3 linked regions of the Arabidopsis thaliana genome follow. The protein of the gene in region 1 interacts with the protein of each later gene in a pairwise test. Each region holds a gene or a part of one and is shown in the gene's direction. Other genes may lie near its edges.

Region 1 (6,627 bases):
TCTCATAGAAAGAGACTGATCTACACACTATCAAAAGTTTTACGGTATTTAAACATGTTTTCTGTTAGGACATTTAACAAGATTGGGAGTTAAAAGTGATGGAACCACCTCTATGTACTGAGAATAGAGTCCATCTGGTGCAAGTTCTTCCATGATCAGTGCGGCATATTCCTCTGCTCGTTCTCGCAACCTCGATAGATTATTTGCCGATGCACTTAGTATAATAATCTATAGGTTGTCAAAATCATAGAAAACCATACAAAAAGTAGTTAATACCATTGAGAAGCTTCTATTTGAAAGATTCAACGTTAAACTTAGTGGTTATATAGAAAAACAATATCTTTTCATTGGTAGTTAGAATCACTTCCTTAAATTAAGAAAGCTGCTACAAGGTCAATCAAATTATATGCAGAAAAAACAATTGCAACTTAAATCTCCTAGTCTTGCATTGGTTACAAGGTAGACATAAGAAAGAATAATATCAAGACCAACATAACCAACCAAAAAAAAAAAACATGTAGCTCTATAAAATTAAGCAAGAGGGATAATACAATACTAAAACATATAAAGATAATGGGACTCATGTAAGATTCATTAGTCAATGCTGATTAGAATACTAAACAAAGAAGATCGAACAAAAGTAAAAAAAAAAAAAAAAACCTCTTTTACTTCATTCTCTGTGATTCTACCATCTCCATTTTTAACCCTGCAAGTTTCAAAAAGTGAAAAAACAAATCAAGAACTTTAGCTACATGTTGATCAATATGTTTAACAAGATTTGATGATAATTGATAACAATACATGTTGAAGAAGATTTGAAGACGAGAATCGAAGCTTTCGTCTGTAATTTGGTACCAAAACTCGTATAATTCTTGAAGATTGATCTTATCAACCATTATTCTTCTTCTCCTACACAATGCGTCGAACAACTCGTCTGCAAACTCTTTGGAATTTTCATTCTCCAAACCTTTCAAACACAGAACAACAAAATTTACAATCTCTATCGATTCTCCAGAGTCAAACTCAATTTCAAAACTGTGAAAATCATTATGTCGAACCTATGCAATGAGCAAAATCACTTTTGAAAAGATAACCATCTTTAGAAAGATGAGCGAAATTGTTTTGAACATCGTTCCAATCAACGATTCCATTTTCTTTGCTGCTTATGAATTTCAAACCATGAATCGCTCTCTCTGTACCCGATCCATCCCGATTAGGTCTAGTTGGTCGCTGAGATAAAGCTCGAGGGAGATTAACCGAATCGGTAATTTCGCCTCTGTGTGGAACCACCGGTTCCGGTGCAGACCGAGACGAATAACCGTAACCACGCCGTGAGATCTTCTGGATCTGCTGCTTTGAGTTCGTCCCCGCCGTCAGTCTCTCCGACGACGCGCTCCATCCTAAGCTAAGCGACCTTGATCCTGAACCGGAATCCGAGCAAGAGGTGATCTCTAGATCGGTACCTGAAATATCGGTGCCGGTTCCGGTAACGGAGTCGATGTTTATTATTACGCCGCTTGGGAATTCGATTGTTACTTCTAGGAGCTCTTCGCCGGAGGAGGAGGAGGAGGAGGGTGAGGGTGAGTATGTTGCTGGTAAGGATGGAAAGCTTTGGGTGAATTCTCCGGCGGAAGCTAAATCGGAGCCCCAACGATCGTTGTGAGTCCCGCCGGAAAATGACATTGACATTTTGAATTTGTTGGGAGGAGAGGAGAGAAGCCAAGGAGGGAGAAGACTGAATAAATACAGTTTTTGAATTTTGTGTTTATTATAAAATTTGTCTTTTGTACTAATCAAAGGAACGACCAGAGGAAATTACCAAAGCAGAACGAAAATATAAAAATAAGTTTGGTTTCTAAAAATACGGTTTTAAATTATACTATATTTACGAGTTACGACACAAAAAATTATACTATATTTTTGTGCATGTTTTAGGTACACTTTAATTATACTTAACTCGCTGTTGTTGTGAAATTATATATTTTTTTAAAAAAATTTAATTTGTTTAGCATATTAAAAATATATATGATTTAATGTTTTGAATTTTTATATATTAATTAATGTATAATTATTATATTTGATTTTTATTCTTTAAAATATAAAAACAATAAAATACAATTCATTTGGTTAAAATCTATATCACAACTAAATAATTTGAATTTGAATTGTATTTGTTTTGTTTAGTGTTTAAAACTAGAGGTATCAAAATGTCTCAACTCAACTCAATCCATGAACCCTAATGAGTTGAAAATTTTGACTCAAATGAGTTAATGGGTCAAATGAGTTGATGAGTTAATTGGTTTGATGAGTAAAATGAGTTGGGTTGTAATGGTTAATGGTTTCAATGGTTTACCCAATTAACACATCAAGTTTTGTAAAATTGAATTAAACTAATTAAAATCTCTAAACCAATGTCAATTTAAGTTTAACCAACACATCTAAACCAATTTAATAAATCATTATTTTTCCAAATTTCTTAAATATATAAGCGATAAAATTGAGAAAAAGTAAACTCGTAAATTTTTTTTTAAAAAACATAAACCCGTGATTTTTCCGCCAAAAATAAAAACATGTGATTAAAACTAATAACCGAAACAAAGTTTGGAAGATAAACCGACAATAAGTCGGAGATAGATACGAACGAAGACGAAAAGCTAAAACATAAAACGAAATCTAAAGCCCGATGTTAATCGGATTAGCAAAAGATAGTAACAAGATTCAAAGTTTTTTATCTCTAAAAGATTTGAGAGAATTAAGAGAGAAAAAAACTTATATGACACAAATACATTTAAGATTGTATTTTGGTGAGCAATTTAAACCAAAATAACATAATTCTCATAATACATTCAACACATACATTAAGGAGGGTCAACATTATCGAATCGAGATCCACCCAAATTAATTTTATAACCTAACCGGTATAGTAATTTGCCTTGTATATAAAGTTTTTGGAACCAACCCATTTAACTAAATTCACAAAATATAATAATTTAAATTTAAGTATATTAAAACTATAATATGAATTAAAATTAGTTAGTTATCTTTATTTTTATTATAAGTTTTTGTCCAAAACCGATCCTAACCTAAATTGAACCAAATGAAACCACATAACTGGATGCAGACTAATCAACAACAATCGCACGTGCGTCTGAGAACTTGTCACGTGACCACTCCGCTCCTTTCTTTGGCTTCGAGTTTTGGATGATGAAAAATAATTATTACCGCGTTTATTATAAAAGTTTCTAGGGTTTACGAAATTTGGGTCTCTCTCCCTCTCTCTACTTAACGCTCTCTGTATCTTCTTCTCCGTCAACGATACGAACCCAGAGACGTCGGCGGTTAAAACAATCGTCGGATCTCTCTGGATTCGTTAGACGAGAAGTTTCCGGTATCTAATTTCTGTGCGTTAGAGAGAAATTAGGGTTGTTGCTACGATGGATGAGACTTTACTTGACGATATAATACGACGGCTTTTGGCGACGAATAATGGAAGGACGGTGAAGCAAGCACAGATTACTGAGACGGAGATACGTCAGCTATGTTTAGCTTCAAAAGAGGTTTTTCTCAGTCAGCCTAATCTCCTCGAGCTCGAGGCTCCTATCAAGATTTGCGGTAATGTTACTGAATAGAGAAATGTTTCTCTCTGTTTACTTTATCTTGAATTCGTTTTTGTGTTGTGGGTTTTTGATCAATTTTACATTTTTTGATGTAAGGGTTTAGCTTTGTAAGTTTGTTGTTTGGGAAGCTTAAAGCTTAGATTTTTGGGATATAAGTGTACATTGAAATGGTTGAAGATGTGTATGTTGTGAATTAGTTAAATGCTCTGCCACTTTAAGTTAGTGTTTCTTGCGGAATTGTGAGTAGTGACCTCTTACTTTTGTGTCTTTGAGGAACCATGGTCCCTTAGCTCTGTTGCATAAGCAGTTGTTGGTATCTCGCTTGACTTATTACTTCATTTGATAGCTAATAGTTTTGTTTAGTTGCTGAATTTGGTGTATGATAGATATTAAACCCTTCTGTTGCTATCATAACTGTATGATTTGTAATTTTGTTGATGGTTTTAAGTTTATATGTTGATGAGCAGGAGATGTTCATGGTCAGTTTCCAGACCTCTTGCGGTTGTTTGAGTATGGTGGTTATCCACCAGCTGCGAACTACTTGTTTCTTGGGGATTATGTTGATCGTGGTAAGCAGAGCATAGAGACGATATGCCTTCTTCTTGCCTATAAGGTCAAATACAAGTTCAACTTCTTTCTTCTCAGAGGCAATCACGAATGTGCTTCAATCAACCGTGTATATGGATTCTACGATGAATGCAAAAGAAGATATAATGTTCGCTTATGGAAAACATTCACCGAGTGCTTCAACTGTCTGCCTGTTTCTGCTCTCATTGATGATAAGATCCTCTGCATGCATGGTGGACTATCGCCTGATATTAAGAGCTTAGATGACATCAGGAGAATTCCTCGTCCTATTGACGTTCCTGATCAGGGCATTCTTTGTGATTTGTTGTGGGCTGATCCTGACAGAGAGATTCAAGGCTGGGGGGAGAATGACAGAGGTGTCTCTTATACATTTGGGGCTGACAAAGTAGCTGAGTTCCTTCAAACTCATGACCTTGATCTTATATGCCGAGCTCATCAGGTAAAGCTAAAATTTATTCCTTGAGTTCTCTCTTTTGATTTCTCTGGATTGGTTTGTTCTTCTCTGTGACTGTTCTCTGAATTCAGAGGGTTAAGAAATCATAACTCAGTTGTTAATGCAAGGATCTGTAGTTTTTTCACCAAGCCAAGTTTTACTTAACTATACTGTTCCTGCAGGTTGTAGAAGATGGATACGAGTTCTTTGCAAAGAGACAACTAGTGACAATATTCTCTGCACCCAATTACTGTGGCGAGTTTGACAATGCTGGTGCATTGATGAGTGTTGATGATAGCTTAACATGTTCATTCCAAATCCTTAAGGCATCTGAGAAGAAAGGAAGATTTGGATTCAACAACAATGTTCCTAGACCAGGAACCCCACCTCATAAGGTGTGAAAATACTATCCCCCTGTATATAGATGCAATGTAGGTAGATGTTAGATATCAGGTTTGATATGTTAACATTCTTGCAGGGTGGAAAAGGTCGTTAACTCGTCGTCGATGGGTTCAAGAAACGAGTGAAACCGACGGGTTCGAATTTTGTAAGGCAAACAGTTTGTTTTGTTAGATTGTTATCTGTTTTCTTATGGTTGAGGCAACATTATGTTTTGTTTAGATTTTTTTTGTAAAAATTGTGGAAGATGTTCACAGCATTTTCAACTGAAGAAAGTTGGGTTTTATACAACTAACCTTTTAGAAACATATTCTAAAAACATAAACGTAAAATTTATAAAAATAATAAAATGAAACTTGAAAAACAATTATCTTATTTGACGTAATATATACTATAAGCTAAATAATAAGAGAAGAGGTAACCTAGATTTGAGGATAGATACTGCTTTTATCTTCTTCACGCGTCGCCGACGCGTATGCTTGTTCCCGTAGGCACCAAGGCAATCTATATAAACATATTGAGTGAAGTTTCACAATCTTTCACCATCAATTCCACAATTCTGCTTCTTCTTTGTGTGTTATCTCTCTGTCGGAGAAAAAAAAAACCCTAGTTTCTTGCTTGGCGAATCAAGGCAAAATCACGATGAAGCAAGCTTCTTCTTCTTCGTCATGTAATCCAACAAGTTTAACAAACAGACTTAAAACAATCTTTAAGAAAGCAGAAGAGCTTTCGATTCTCTGTGCTATTGACGTTTGCGTCATCTATTACGGACCAGACGGTGATCTGAGAACATGGCCTAAGGATAGAGAGACAGTGAAAAATATGGCTTTGAGGTATAAAGAGGACAGAAAACGCAAGAAGTGCCTCAATCTTCATGAGTTCCTCGAGAAAGAGAAGGTGAAGGACAAAGACAAGTATAAGGGGAAGACGAATTATGTGAAGAACCCTAATTGGTATCCAAACTTTGATCATTACTCTCCTCAACAACTCTCTCAATTGATTCAGTCCTTAGAACGAACACTTTCTACTCTCCAAAAAAGGCTTCGTATTGTTGAGTCGCAGAAAAAACAGAACACAAACTTGGTGCATCAGAGTTTAACACCATCGTATCTGAACCAGACACAACACTTGGATCCTAGCAAGTTCTCGCTGTATATGTACAACCATGGAGATGCTACTCTCTCACAACTCCCACTGTCTGCTTCACAATCCAATCAACTCATCAATTACCAGATGCAGCATGGTTTTGGTCAGAACATGTGTTTGGACAACATCACCAACAACAACAACTTTCAACATCCTGGCGTGTCAAACACACAAGACTACTCACCGTTACTTTCGGCGAATAACTACGGGTTGAATAATCACTTGATGCAGCAACAGGATCAGCTTCATGGTTTTGATCAGAACTTGTGTATGATGAGTGAAATCATCAATAACAACAACGGTTTACAACATCCTAATCTCTCAAACACTGTTCCACATGAATTCCCTTATGGTAACACTAGCTTCTCTCAAGATATGTTTTCGAGCTATGATGGGAGCAGTTTGCTACAGACATCTTCTCTGCCACCTCTCCACAACATTCCT
Region 2 (6,701 bases), on another chromosome or scaffold:
TTATGCATTGTCTCATTTTTCCGAATAATTTTTATAGCCACTTCCTCAGGTTCACCTAGCTCAGGTTTTGTGTCTTTTGCACGCACCACGGTAGAGAATACACCTTTCCCATGAGTAGCCATGATTTCATATCTATCATCAAGTAGTTCACCAAGCTGATAACTGTAATAACCTTCTGCATCATCCCAATTATCATTGAGTCCACTCCTTACAAAAGGAACAAGTGCATTCCCTTTCCGAGTACCATCAGCTAGAGGAGACTCCCCAAAGATATCATCACTGAACATGTCACTCTTTGGGCTGCCTGCGGAAGCTAGTGTCATATCTGAGTCTGATATCACAAGCCGTGCAGGTGTTTCCCCAACTGCTGAAGATAGCTTGGCGACTTCACCATCTACGGCCTCAGTATCCAACCCAGCTTTAGCTTGAACATCTGCCACAGTAGAGGACTGCTCCAACTTTTTCTTATATTTCTCCAATATGGCTTGCGTAATCCTCTTGCTTTCCTCGATTCTTTTCATCTCTGCAGCTTCTTGTTCTTCAACTCCCCAAACAACATCTTCACCGTCATCATCATTATCAACTTCAGACCTTTCAACGTTGCCCTGAGTTTCACCGTTAGGTTTATGGCTTTTTAAAGAATCTAAGTCATCTTCTGCATCATGCCTAACTTCCCCATATCCATCACCACCACTTTTATAGATCTCCTGATCACTCTGGTCTTCTCTTCTTCCTCTATCCCTATCTTGATCCTTACGTCTCTCTCTTTCATTCTCCCTCCCAGTCTCTCTACTACTAGACCTAGCTTTATCTCTACTACTCCTACCTCTGTAGTTGTCTCTATTGCTTTCTCTATCAATGCTTCCCTTCTTCTTCAAATTCTCCCCTTCCTCCAAATCAAGTTCACCATCGTTACCAGGATTCCCCAAAAATGGATAAACATTCTTTTCATTGCCGTCCTCATCAAGATGATGACTGTGTCGATGCTTGTGATGATGGTGCTTGTGCCGCTTGGAAGATTTAACGACTTCGTCGGAAGGAGAATACGACCTACGGTGTTTGCGGTGGCTTGATTCTACTATCTTATCGCTCACCATCAGATCGTCGGAAAAGATAGACAATCGCAAAATTAGGGTTAGGGTTCGATTTTCTCCCGCGCTCTCTCTGTCTCCGTGAACAACAGACTTCCATTAAAAAAATTCACATTATATAAAAATTACAGTCGGCATCGGCAAATTAAAAGGAAATCAGAATCGTCTATTTAAAAAAACAAAGGGCCCAGGCCCATTAATAATAAATGATTAAGAGGATAGAGCCATCATGTCCGTTGATTATTCGAAACCTTTCCGATGGATGGATGACACGTCATCGATCCGCAAGAAACTCGGGTAACCAATGAAAGCCAGCAGAAGCCTCTATATAAACAAATGTCTCCTCAGTTTTTCCATCAGACGCATCTTTCAATTGTCAAGTGATTGTATTTAACCACAATTTCTTCTCATCTCTAAAGTCAGCATCAATGGCTCCGAAAGCGGCAGAGAAGAAACCGGCTGGGAAGAAGCCAGCAGAAAAAGCTCCGGCAGAGAAATTACCAAAGGCGGAGAAGAAGATCACCAAGGAAGGTGGAAGCGAAAAGAAGAAGAAGAAATCGAAGAAGAACATCGAGACGTACAAGATCTACATCTTCAAGGTTCTGAAACAAGTTCATCCTGATATCGGAATCTCCGGGAAAGCGATGGGGATCATGAACAGTTTCATCAACGACATCTTCGAGAAACTAGCTCAGGAATCATCGCGATTGGCTAGGTACAACAAGAAACCGACGATCACTTCTCGGGAAATTCAGACGGCGGTGAGACTTGTGTTGCCTGGAGAGCTCTCGAAACACGCTGTTTCTGAAGGCACTAAGGCGGTTACTAAATTCACTAGCTCGTAGGGTTTATATCTCTTAATTCTCTTTCCGCCTTTCGAATCGTTTAGGTGTTATCGCTTTCTTCTACATCTTTGGTGGTAAATCTTTGAATGAAAAGTTTCCTTTGTTAATGAATATCGTTTTCTTCATAAGAACAAAAAATTATTTGATCGGTGATCAATATCTTCTTCCGTTTCTGAGGGTTTTTTGGCCTTTTTTTCTATCCATAACTCTTTTGGTTCTTCACGATTCCACTAATTTGGTGGGGAGCAACACTAGTTATATTTTGCAGAGATTTGTGGGCACAATGGTAAATCATATACTTGAGTAATTATGTTAAAGAATGTTTCACTTTAACAAAATCATACTGATCCATTTGGTTTTATCTTAATCCCTTGATTTAATCACTTCATGGTGATTTCTAACTGTGTTTAGTGATGACGATGTTGATGATTGATGTTTAAGGTTTTCACTTTTCAGTGAACAAACGTTACAACTGGGCCTATTTATCATTCGTGACCCATTTTTTCCCTCGTGATCGGGCTCTAGCGGGAAAAATTCAGACACATAAAATAAGAGTATTAAACACGAGACACGTGTATATTTCTGATTCGCTCCGAGTAAGGTGGCCACGTCTTCGTCTCCCTAGTTGACCTTTCTTTGCATTTCTATCTTAATATAAAAAAAACTCGTTTGATCCATCCGTCTTCTCTCAGATTAGCTTTTTAACATCTTGGCTGGGTTTCGTGTGATTTCGTTTTGGATATGGTTGTTCGGATTCTTGTTACCATGATTCGGCTATAGTGTTTGTCGCCTCTGATTGTCTCAAGCATCGTTCTTTACTGATTTTTAGATAGCTCTGAGATCTGTCTCTGCGATTCGTCGGATTTGAATTCGTTTTTTTTTTTGGGTAGCTCTTGGATTTCTTCTTCTAGGGTTTCCAAGAGGATAGAGAAAATGCGGGTGTCCTCTGAGATACTCCTTCTTTCTTTGGTTCCGGCGTTGACTTTTTATCATTCTGGTTTAAGTTCTAATCGTTTGAAACCTCTTCAAAAGAGTGATTGGCGTGGTAATCTTAGTTAAACAACAATTTCTCTGTTTTTTTGTTTCTCCGATCTCTTCAGATCTTTTCAATTTTCTCTTCGGTTTGGTTTGTTTTCACGCATTTCCTAGCTCGGAGTAAGCTAATCGAAGAAAACAAGCTTGTTATTGATCGATCTTTCGGTTTTTGTTTTGACGTTTTGTGTGAACGAGGTAATTTGGCTATATGATTTTTTGGCTAAAGTGTTGTTTGAGCTAGAGTTCTCTTGTTAATGGTATTTGAATTTGTGTTTGTTGCAGTTACTTTTGGATATGAGCTCTGTCTGTGGTGGGTTGGATTTCAAAGATGCAGAGAGCAGCTCTGCTTCCAGTCCCATTATATGTTCTACTGGCGTAAAGCATATCTCTTGTGTTGGATCTGATGATGCTCAAGAGTCTGATGGTGATGATAGTGGTTATATACACCAAACTGTGATTGAAGAATCCAAAGACAAGGCGATCAGCGAACCCATCCCTGAGTCTTTACCTCTCAATTCTTTGGATGATGAAAGTGAAGATAAGAACCTTGCTACTGCATTGCAAGACATGTTCTCTGAGAGTGTAAGTGACCCTATCTTATTTCATAACACTGGTCGCTATCTTTATAGTTGTTGCGTTTTTTCTGTTCTATTGTCTTTTGTTCTTTCTCCTGTTTAGAATACGGTGTGGTCTGTGCTGATGTCAAGTTTCTATCTTTGATCACATATATAATTGAACTTAGATGTTTTGCGTAGCTCTAGGCTTGTGATCGTGGCTGTTTCAATCATATGTCGGTAGTTGCTTACAACATCTAGAACCAACCTTTTAGTCTTTAGTGGTAGATATACAAGAATGCGAAGGAGTAACATTACAAATCATCCCTGGCCAAAGCAAGAACATAGCTTAGGTTTTATGATCCATGAAATAATACAAATCCTTAGATTTTGGCTGTGTGATATATATATATATCAATGTTTGGTGCTTATAAATATCTTTTCTGTTTATGATATATGTAGTAGAGAAATGCTGTGTTTATGTTGGCTGCTTCTGATTTTTGTTGTTTTTTGTAATCCAACAACAGATGAGTGTGGTTACTCTGATTCCTGCCATTAAAGGTGGTCGAGAGAAGCATGGCAAGTCACTCGAGAAGCTCAGTGTGTCATGGGCTGAAGATGTGTATGATCCTCCTCCCTCCATTGTCTCTCACACAAGAAGCAAGAAACAGCAACCGCAGAAATCAAAGAGCAAAGACAACCTGAAGAAGAATGGAAAGAAAGGACAAAAGGGAAGCAGCAATTCCCGCAGCAGCAAAGACAAGAAGCAGATTTCTTCACGCAGCAGCAAATACAGTCGTGATAAGTTTGATTGGACAACACAAATGTCTGTTCTAGCTGCATCTTCTTGAATCTGTGTGGTATGACCAAGGCTCTTGCGTCTTCCTTGCTCTTGTCTCTCTCTCTCTCTCTTTCTTGTTTATAAATAAAAGATTTGAAGTGAAAACTTTTCTCGAGTTTCAGAACGACTATTGTTGTTGGTACGGAATTGATTTTGTTTTTACTCAATTTACCACTTTTATTGTGAAGTTTTTCCCTCTCTACTTGTTCCTTTATCTATAATATAGCTGATAATTTTGCAAAAAGTTGATACTGCTAATTTAGTAGAGCAAATTGGATCGTAGTTCGTAGATTTCAACCCTTAATTTGATGGAAAGTGCACAAGAAATAATATATCAGTTCAAGCAAAACCATACACAGTACAGAAAGGAACAACATTAGTATTATATGCCGACGACTTTACTATATTTGCTTCTTTTTACTTCTTTCCTTTACAAAATATTTCACTAGATCTGAAACCTCTCCTGTGTCAACTCTAAATTCTAATATCGTCTTTGTTAAGGGCTTGTACAAAAAATAACAGAGGTACACAAGAAATGATCCTTCTGCAAAAAGAAAACAAAGAGTGGGTTTAAAAGGGGCAAGAGAGCAAAAAAAGGAAAGATCCCAAATCCCAAAATCCGGATGAAGCTTCAAAAAATCTTCCATGAAAGATGATATCAGATGATTGAAGTTGATTCTGAAAAACTCGGTACTTTCTTCTCGAGCATCGATGTTCCCTTGAAGATTGTTAGTTGCACTTCTCTCTGGTACCTCTGTAACTGTAAACACAAACACCATTGTTAATCCTCTTTTAACCATTTTTGTAACCAGACTGCGCAACCATTAAAGATTTGATCAAGTCAAAAGATTAATCATGAAAGCATTTGCCAGGAAATGTCCCAGGCCAAACTTTACGTACTCGATGTTCAGTCATCTTTGTGAATCCAAATTTATTTGTCCAGATAGACTCAGCTTCTTCAGCTGCTGGGAGAAGCAAGTTCTCAACATTCAGAGAGGAAAGAAGATTCTCAACGCAAGCAAACAGCCCTTGAAAGTAGCCCTATAGAACCATTAAACAAATTGGTTTTGTCACAAGTTATAAAACAAACAAGCGAATCCGACACAGCAAAGAAACATGGGATGTACAAAAGCTTACCCTTCCCTGATACTCTCGGCTTGTAGCTACAATAGGAAGTTCTGCAACTTTCTGACCAAATATCCTAAGCAGCGCGGCAGAAACAACTAGGGAACTAAAAACGCAGCAAAAAACATTTAGAAAGATTGAGAGATGGTAAAACAACAATACAGAGAGAAAGATAAATGCATCAAGAACACCAGACATACTTCACCATCAGGACCAAGCAGTACATTCCTCCAAACTCCTGGCCAGATATGTTTCTCCTGCAAACATGTTGGAAGAATTACCAGGATGATCAATTACTATTAACATTTGAATGAAAAAGGAACTTGAATCTGAGTTTATCATAGTACAGCTTACCCATAGACCATGACAGGAATGAGATCACGACCAGACTTTGCCACAATGGGATCAAAACACTCCTGAAAAGTAAACTCATTTGCTATACATGTGTTTATAAAATAAATTCGCTGTACAATGTACATGTGTGTAAGAAATAAATTTACAAGCCAGATAAAACTCAAAATGATGTGAGCACATTTATAAATTGAGGCATACCCTGAAAATAGTAGCTGCTCGTGAAAGTAAGGGTAGATGCTCTGGGTATCGACTTTTTCCACTAAGCATCCTCCACTCCACAGTATTTCCATTGTCAATATATATTCCTTTTTCTCTGTACTTTCTGCTTATCGTGTCTAACAAAAGCGTGGGAATAGTTTGTGGCCCACATGAAGCAGAGCTTTGAAGAACCCTGTGAATCCTGCTGCAGTCACTACAGCAGAACCATTTATCTTGGGGGATTCCCTACAGCAATCAGGAAAGAAATGAGACAGGTTTAATGAACATGTGAACACAGACCACCTATATTACATGACTTACTTTCAAATCACAAAGCTCATTTTCCCTGAGACAACCGACGTGGTACTCTTTCTCGCACTTCAAGAGCAAAGAGGAAAAATGACCATTAGACAAGAAAGACGTGGGTAAAGAAAATCTGGAATAAGAAACCAGAAACAACAATACCTGGTCACAGAGAATAACTGTCCTATCATCAAATTTCCCAATGCTAAAATCATGCGACCTATCAGAAATGGGGGATAATGAATAAGCAGAGTGGAGTACAAGTATATTCGCATTCAAATTAAAATAGGTATACAACCAACCTGCAGAACACGCAACCACCAATTTCGCTTTCTGGTGCTTTAACAACTCTTGT
Region 3 (7,117 bases), on another chromosome or scaffold:
TTAATAGATATTCTAGTCAATACTAATACCTCAATGATGCAAAGTTAACTCAAAACATGTATATCAAGCCAATAATAAAGGAAGCAGCTTGTACCTTAACTTCATGCAAGTCCATATTGGCAAACTGAAGTAATCTGTCATTCAGTATATGTTCCACCTGACAATGGAACTCATCAAAATCAAAACCTGGATTGAAATGACTTGATCTGCTCTAAATCTATATGATGTCTTAAGGTAAAGCAAACTATAAAGAGGCCATTTTTGCTGAAGGAAAACAAAGCTATCCTACGTTGATACCACAGGAGTTATCAGAGAGAAGGCTGGGAATAGGGAGAAACAGAGAGTGTCAAAATAGCAAACTAGCATACCTGTGACCGAAGAACTTCCTTATAAGTCCCAATTTCCCTCAACGCAATTGTAAATTTCGTCATTACCGGTCCTGGCACAGCAAGTTAGAGTTTGTCAGCACTTTTAACAGCAAATTGTTAACATTTCCACCAAAACCAGTGAATCTAACAACCCTAGCAAAGAGAAAGCGAAGAGAAAGAGCGGGAACAACAACTTCCCTCATAATTTAAGGCCACTATCAGTATTTAGTGCTTAAAAACGAAATTATGAATTCTAAAATGGAAAGTGCCAAAGAATCTCAGATGAAAACTGCAAAGATTATGGGAATAAACAGACAATATGCTACTGCGAGTTTCCATATAATCGGTCATACCTCCAAAAGCCACACTTATTGGATCATTATGGCCTCCACCAAATGTTTCAAGTGCACTTGCGAAAGCAATGTCCCCATCGTATGCCTCGCCTAGTCCTTCACTGTAAAAAGAAAGAATAATCTATCGCTGTTAAAAGATACATGTTTCAGCCAGAAGAAAACTCTAAATGTAGAGCTACAATCCTAATTAGCTGTGAAAATTTGAACTAGCATACGTGTATTTCCGGCATCCTTTGTAAAACTTGAGACTTCTTTCCCGCAATATTTCTGCGCTCTCCTCCATGCTTTGTAACTATTTAAGAAAAAGATATCAATGTAAGAACGCAGCTGCGGAAGGAAAAATACATAAACGCAAAGAAAACAGTAAAGACACAATCCAATTATGGAAGAAACTGCAACTATGGATAACCCCAAAGATTGAGTGATTCAGGCACTCTATATAGGGGCAAAAGAATCATCAACTTCAGGCAAACAGAGCAGTTGTTGGACAGAATTTGAGCTACACTAGGAACTTCCTTAGCATTTAAGTTGAGTTAGATAGCAGAAGTCCTACTAAACCAGTGAGCATGAAAGTAGTAGCTAAGTGGACACAAATGTATCCTAAACACACGAATCAGAGACCCAAACAAGTGCACTGGATCATAAGTCATTTCACATTTCATGGAGCAACAAGTTAAAGCGCGAATAGGCCGTCCAGATAAACCAATTTCTTAGTGACACATTAATTCGAACCTTCCAGTGAAGTTCCACTCACATTTTGGAATATAAATGTCGGTGGACATTCAAAATTCCAGACACAACACATCCTAATGGCTCCAAAATTAGTATCTGTTGACAACTTTTGAAGAACAAATCTCGCCTAATATGACCCAATTTTAACCTACGACACTAAAAGACTGGACACATCAAGACAAGCACACATAGACAGGAACCAAAGATATGTAGTAGAAACAAACCTGTTTGCGGAACATGGGAGAGTCATCAAGCTTAGTGAAATGCATTTTGAGCTAATTTATTACTTCCTCTTCTTCGACACAAACAGCAATTAACATAACACGAACACACACACCAAAAACCTAAAAGCTAGAACCACCACTATGTCTCACACAGACGCCATAAACGAACAAAAACGTGAGATCCTCTCCTCCCAAAGCTTCCCCGAAATATCCAACAGAAACAGAAACCGATGATCTTCAAAGTCTCGAGCCAAGCGTAATTTTGAGCTGGTGTTTTTTTCTCGCGAAATCGAGAGAGAACAAAACAAGAAAACAGTGGGGGTGTGTTTTTTAGATGAAGTGTCTCGGGAGAAGAGAAGAGACAGACAAATCAAAGAAAGGAAGAAAAAAAACTTCACCGTCTTTGTGAAAATTTTAACCACAAAAGACGGCGAAACTATGCCGTTTTAGTTACCGCCGGAGATCGTGAAGGTTGGTAAGATACGACGTCGTTTCAAGTGTAAATTTTTTAAAGAGAGGACTGACTGTGCTTTTTCTGTAACAGTGGTCATCTGAGAAAACAAGGACTCTGGCTAAAATCCACTATATCCACGCGCCTTTAAAGCCCGTGTAGTATTAAAGAGGCTGGAAATTAGGAGGCGCGTGTAGTAAACGCGATTCTCTCGAGAGTATTAATAGAGAGGGGAGAGTGGGACCCGTTATCTGGTTGCTTCTCCATTATCTTTTGTTCCGGAGAGACAGAGAGGCCAGTGGGGTATAAATGATTCCTTTTAAGACATGTTTATTTTATTTTATATGAAAATATCTTTAAATATAAAAAATTGAACACTTATGATTACTTTCTTTTGGAAAAAAATTGTTAAAGCAAAAAGAAAAGTGGGAGAAATTTGGAAAAAATGGACACGATGATCTTACTTTCTTTTGCAGACTTTACAGTCGCATATGATTATTAAAATACATTTTCTTGGTTTCAAAATCCTTATTGTTTAATGAAATGTATGATCTCTTGAGTCTTGTCCAGCTAGTTCAATATTGTTTAATCATAACGATAATCGTCTTAAATCTAGGTTAAGATCTTTGTTCAACTGGTAAAACTAAGACATCTGCAATTAAAAACATAATAATGAACATTATGTATTACTATTAACCAACATTTAATATGGTCTTCTAATCAGATTTTCTCACATCAATTTTCTTTCATCTTTCTCACAACATTTATCGTATGTTTTCTCTCTCAAATGATTTCCGACATATGGCTATCAATCTAATGTAACTTAGATCTCTCTTTTCCTTTTTAGACTGTCGCATCTTTCATTTCCTTATTGACCTCAAACGGCCTACGGATACTAAAATCCACTTTAGCACACAACCAAAAAAAAATTAAAAACTGTATAGAGGTAACAGTGACTAGTAGGCCGATATTGGGCCAAGAAGTAGGAAATTCCATTAAGCCAGGCCCATTATAAAATGCCCATTTAAAATTTGTTTTGTTATAGGATCACACGAAAGGCGGTCTATTATTTTGTTCGTTCTTCGTTTATTCACAGCAATCGATTTGTGTGTGTTTCAATTTCTAATAGCTTCACAATGGCATCGTCTGGATCAGCCGACGAAGATTTCCAGTCTCGCGTTGCGAAGATCTTCGGATCTCTACCCTTCTCTCGTCCTTCGTCTTCCAAGTTTTCCACGTCGTCTTCTGCTCCGGCGTCGCGGCAGCAATCGGGGTCGGTGTGGACTCTCTCCGACACAGAGGTAGAGAAGCGGGAGTGGAAGCGAGATTCGTACGATAGAGACGAGATTCCTTGTGCTTCATCCTTTGACGAGCTCTTAAAACAGCAGAAGCCTTCCGAGGATGATCTCAAAGATATTGATTGCGGCGAGGATTTTGATGGTGTGTGGAGTATCAGAGCCTCCATGGGCCTTGATCGCACTCTCGATGACGAGGTAAATCAATTTTGGTCTCTTAACGATTGTTTCTCATTGCTTAGCTAATTGAAATTAGGGAACAGTGTTGGTCTTTTCTCTTGGATTTGGTAGATTCATATGAGAAGAGCATTGAATTTTTAATGTAGTATCATATTGGTTTGTGTGACTTATAGAGTTTTTGTACGTGAATCATCAACCTATGTAACCAGCTTTAAGATTCTTGAATTTGAGTTTTTCTTGCTATAACTATATGTAGCACATACCGTATTATGAATAGGATGTCACTTTCTTTGATGCTGAGTGTTGTTTCCATGAATTATGCTTCTTAACACAGGCAGAGGAAGATGAGTATGATAAAGTTGCACTAGGGGAAGAGAATGACGGTGAAGGCTGTGGGCGGATTCGGGATCCTCGTGCTAACTATGTTGCTGCAAGAATTAGGCTGAAGGAAGATGAAATTGAGGCTAACAAGTTTAATACTTCTGCAAGTCAACCTTCGGAAAGCAAAGAGCCACACGCAGAAGAATCATCCGAAGCTATGCCGCGAAAACCTATACTCAAAAGGAAGGAGAATAGTTCAGATTCAGAAGCAAGGACAAGTAAGCGAGTCAGGTTTGATTCTGTGCCTGAAGAAACATTGAAGAAGCCTGAAGATACTTGTTCAGCTTCTGCCTCGTCAAAAATCGTATCTCATCAGGGAAAAAGTGGTGCTCGGGTACCGGATTACTTGCTAAATCCTTCGAGTTACACCCGTTACAGCTTTGATCCATCTTGTGAATTGGATGTGGAGTCCCCAACAGGAGAGTACATGGACACTCCCAATGCTGTTGAAGGATTGAAAAATCCAGAGTCAGAATCATTTCCAAAAGTCTCCTTTATTCCGCAGAATAAGACCAAGGACGTAAGTGAAGACAGTAGTAACTGTAATGAGACGAAGCCTATCGTAGCTGGAGAGTTGGCAGAAGAAGAGAGACCAAGTGCAACAGAAGATGGGGATACTGAAATACGAGAATCAGAGAGCTGCACCAGTTTCCAAAGCAAAGGTCGTCAATATCGTGCCAAGCTTAGTTTAGATGAAACAGATGTCTGATCTTTCACATACCAGTTTGGTTGGAAAACGCTACACAGAGATGAAGTTGGGGTCCATGAGATACAATCATGTAGCATCTTTTAGCCGCACATGTAAGATATTTTTAATTCCTAGACTTCTTTTTTACCCAATTTAGAGACTGTATTACAGCGAATGTATGGTAACATAGTAAGAAACTGTTTACCTTTGAGACTGGTTGATAGTACACGCAGAAGAGAATCTAAAGCTACCTCAACTTCCTGGAAGCTATCTTGATAGATTCCAGTGATGTTGCCACAAGTTTTGATTCAACACTAGTGAATCGTTTCTGGGAAGATTCCAGGGTTAAAGAAAGACATGGTTTTGAGCAAGCAATTTATAATTATGAGCAGGTGAAAGTCTGTTGATCTGAGAAAGAAGGAAACACCTCTTCTTATTTTCTTTTTGATTCAATTCATCAAGTTTAGTATGACTGCAGATTAATCAAATCATGGATTCCAATTGTTTGCGTTAAAGATTTTTGCTTAAAGCAAAGCTGTCGTTAATTGAGCAATTGCTTAGGGTTGTTCCTTCAGTTCGTGAATCTGTTTTTACGGGTTTTCAGCTTATGGTTTCATCAAAAGACCACTCGTTGTTGCAGTGTTTTTTAAACATTACACATGTCTTTCCTGACAGGAGGAGAAAGTTCTAATCCGAAGACAAGACTGGTGTGAAAATTTCTGGTTTGTTTTAGATGAGATGCATATATGTATGTATGAACGAAAACAGAGAAAAAAAATGGGAGGGACGGACACAATACTGCTGTTGTTGAGCCTTAAACGGCTTTGACAAGCTGTCTTTTTTCCTTAATACTGTATGTGTGCATAACTCATATACCACATTCATCATTTTGTGTAACTTGCTTAAAGATCCATTCCATGGATAGCTCTCTTAACTATGGCCTCTTGTTTCTGCGTACGGATGCATTTATAAAATGTTGTTTTTTCATTTCGCTAATTTGACATTTATGGTAGATACGTGTGTTTTTGGAAGGACACACCAAAATACTAGTAGACGAAGACACCAAACCCCACTTGGTGTGCATATCAAAGTCAGAAGATGGAGACTACTTGGAAGTTTATTTGATCAAAACTCGTGTTTGACGTTGTAGCTTATTAAGAAATGACTTTTAACTCTCAAGGTTTACCTGGAACATCGTTTTCTTTTTCCAGCGAATTTCTGGGCAAATATCCCTCCAGGCCCACACTTCATAAGCTCCATTAAATTATAAGTTTTTAATTTTATGTCAAACCCAAACCGTTTTGGTTGTCTTTAATCCGTTAAGAAATTTCAGGGCAACTAGAAGCAATCCATAAATATTATTACGATTACAAAATTTGCTTAAGAGGATTAATCAAAATATTTTTGTGAAAAATATTTCAAATATTAACTTTCATTACAAATAAAGGATTTTTACCCCCCAAAAAAAAAATAAAGTACTTTTATAATTAAACCAAAATATTATAATTACCTAATTATAAATGAATATTTTATGATTATCTTACATAAAAGATCGATGTTTACAAAACAAATCATTTTCAAAAGAAAAATAAGTACATTAAATAATAAGATCCCCTTTGATTTATGGTTTATTTAGAAAGTCAAAACGCGAAAATGTTCGAAAATATTATAAAGCCATTTATTCAGTAGATGTAATGTCTTATACGGCCCGAGAAGCGGATGCGTTCCGCGTAGCAATTGCTCGGGCTTGCATGGACGCTACTTAAATCGACACGATTCATACTATATTGTCTGTCAAATCGATAGCTCGTGGGACGTATCAGATTCATTAAGAGGCGATGGATGGCTTGTCCTTTCTCGCTAGAATATTGCCCTCCTCGGGTTAAAGAGCTACCACAGATAAATGTCACCCTACACACATAGTTCGAATATCTCTTTTGGGCAATAAAATGTCATATTTTGTCCTCTTTAGCTAGTGTGATTTTTGAGACATAATTGTAAAGATTTAATTAAGCTAATTGGCGTTCTAGATGAATGGTCATCCTTTGGTATTTAAGTAAGAAAATTCAAACTTTTAAAAATTTGATTTTTTTTTTTTCTTTGAATTATTTTTTTCTAGTTTGTACTAGTTTTTCTAGGCGATTTTTTTTAAAAAAAATCAATGGATGAATTTGTTTTGTTGCAAAATAAATAAATAAAAAAAAAAAAATATATGTAGTAGGGTTGCTGGAAAGATTATCATAAAATTAAATATTTAACAGTTTATGGAGAAAGAAGATAAAGAACGGAAGAGATTAACAAGAAAATAGTTTTGGTTTTTCCTTTTAGGGCATTTGTATCAATTGAAGACGAATGACAATGTTTGGTTTGGTTTGGTTTGGTAGAAGTAAAAAAACATATAGTACCGTTGGGCAGGATAAGACTAGACTACGATTGGAGCTTAAG

The links.
Region 2: the proteins of TOPP7 (region 1) and AT3G53670 interact in a two-hybrid assay, tested with the Arabidopsis thaliana proteins (one large-scale study listed by BioGRID).
Region 3: the proteins of TOPP7 (region 1) and AT5G13310 interact in a two-hybrid assay, tested with the Arabidopsis thaliana proteins (one large-scale study listed by BioGRID).

The regions. Positions count from the first base shown.
Region 1 is NC_003075.7:6,843,899-6,850,525, forward strand, and holds TOPP7 (Calcineurin-like metallo-phosphoesterase superfamily protein), read left to right. Parts: upstream 1-3,213; 5' UTR 3,214-3,434; coding exon 3,435-3,612; intron 3,613-4,084; coding exon 4,085-4,644; intron 4,645-4,820; coding exon 4,821-5,033; intron 5,034-5,116; coding exon 5,117-5,134; 3' UTR 5,135-5,419; downstream 5,420-6,627. Other genes in the region: AT4G11230 (Riboflavin synthase-like superfamily protein), read right to left, coding at 109-228, 661-706, 802-967, 1,059-1,689; AGL52 (AGAMOUS-like 52), read left to right, coding at 5,680-6,627. UniProt on the Arabidopsis thaliana protein: Serine/threonine-protein phosphatase that possesses phosphatase activity toward para-nitrophenyl phosphate (pNPP) in vitro.
Region 2 is NC_003074.8:19,887,839-19,894,539, forward strand, and holds AT3G53670 (uncharacterized protein), read left to right. Parts: upstream 1-2,525; 5' UTR 2,526-2,981; exon of another isoform or gene 2,982-3,085; 5' UTR 3,086-3,166; intron 3,167-3,253; 5' UTR 3,254-3,265; coding exon 3,266-3,553; intron 3,554-4,052; coding exon 4,053-4,376; 3' UTR 4,377-4,605; downstream 4,606-6,701. Other genes in the region: AT3G53640 (Protein kinase superfamily protein), read right to left, coding at 1-1,097; AT3G53650 (Histone superfamily protein), read left to right, coding at 1,520-1,936; AT3G53680 (Acyl-CoA N-acyltransferase with RING/FYVE/PHD-type zinc finger domain-containing protein), read right to left, coding at 5,025-5,126, 5,267-5,407, 5,504-5,597, 5,692-5,748, 5,846-5,907, 6,044-6,289, 6,365-6,421, 6,509-6,566 and 1 more.
Region 3 is NC_003076.8:4,260,297-4,267,413, forward strand, and holds AT5G13310 (uncharacterized protein), read left to right. Parts: upstream 1-3,193; 5' UTR 3,194-3,264; coding exon 3,265-3,621; intron 3,622-3,937; coding exon 3,938-4,693; 3' UTR 4,694-4,785; exon of another isoform or gene 4,786-5,347; 3' UTR 5,348-5,656; downstream 5,657-7,117. Other genes in the region: SFC (ARF GTPase-activating protein), read right to left, coding at 95-157, 369-439, 722-822, 937-1,013, 1,678-1,722.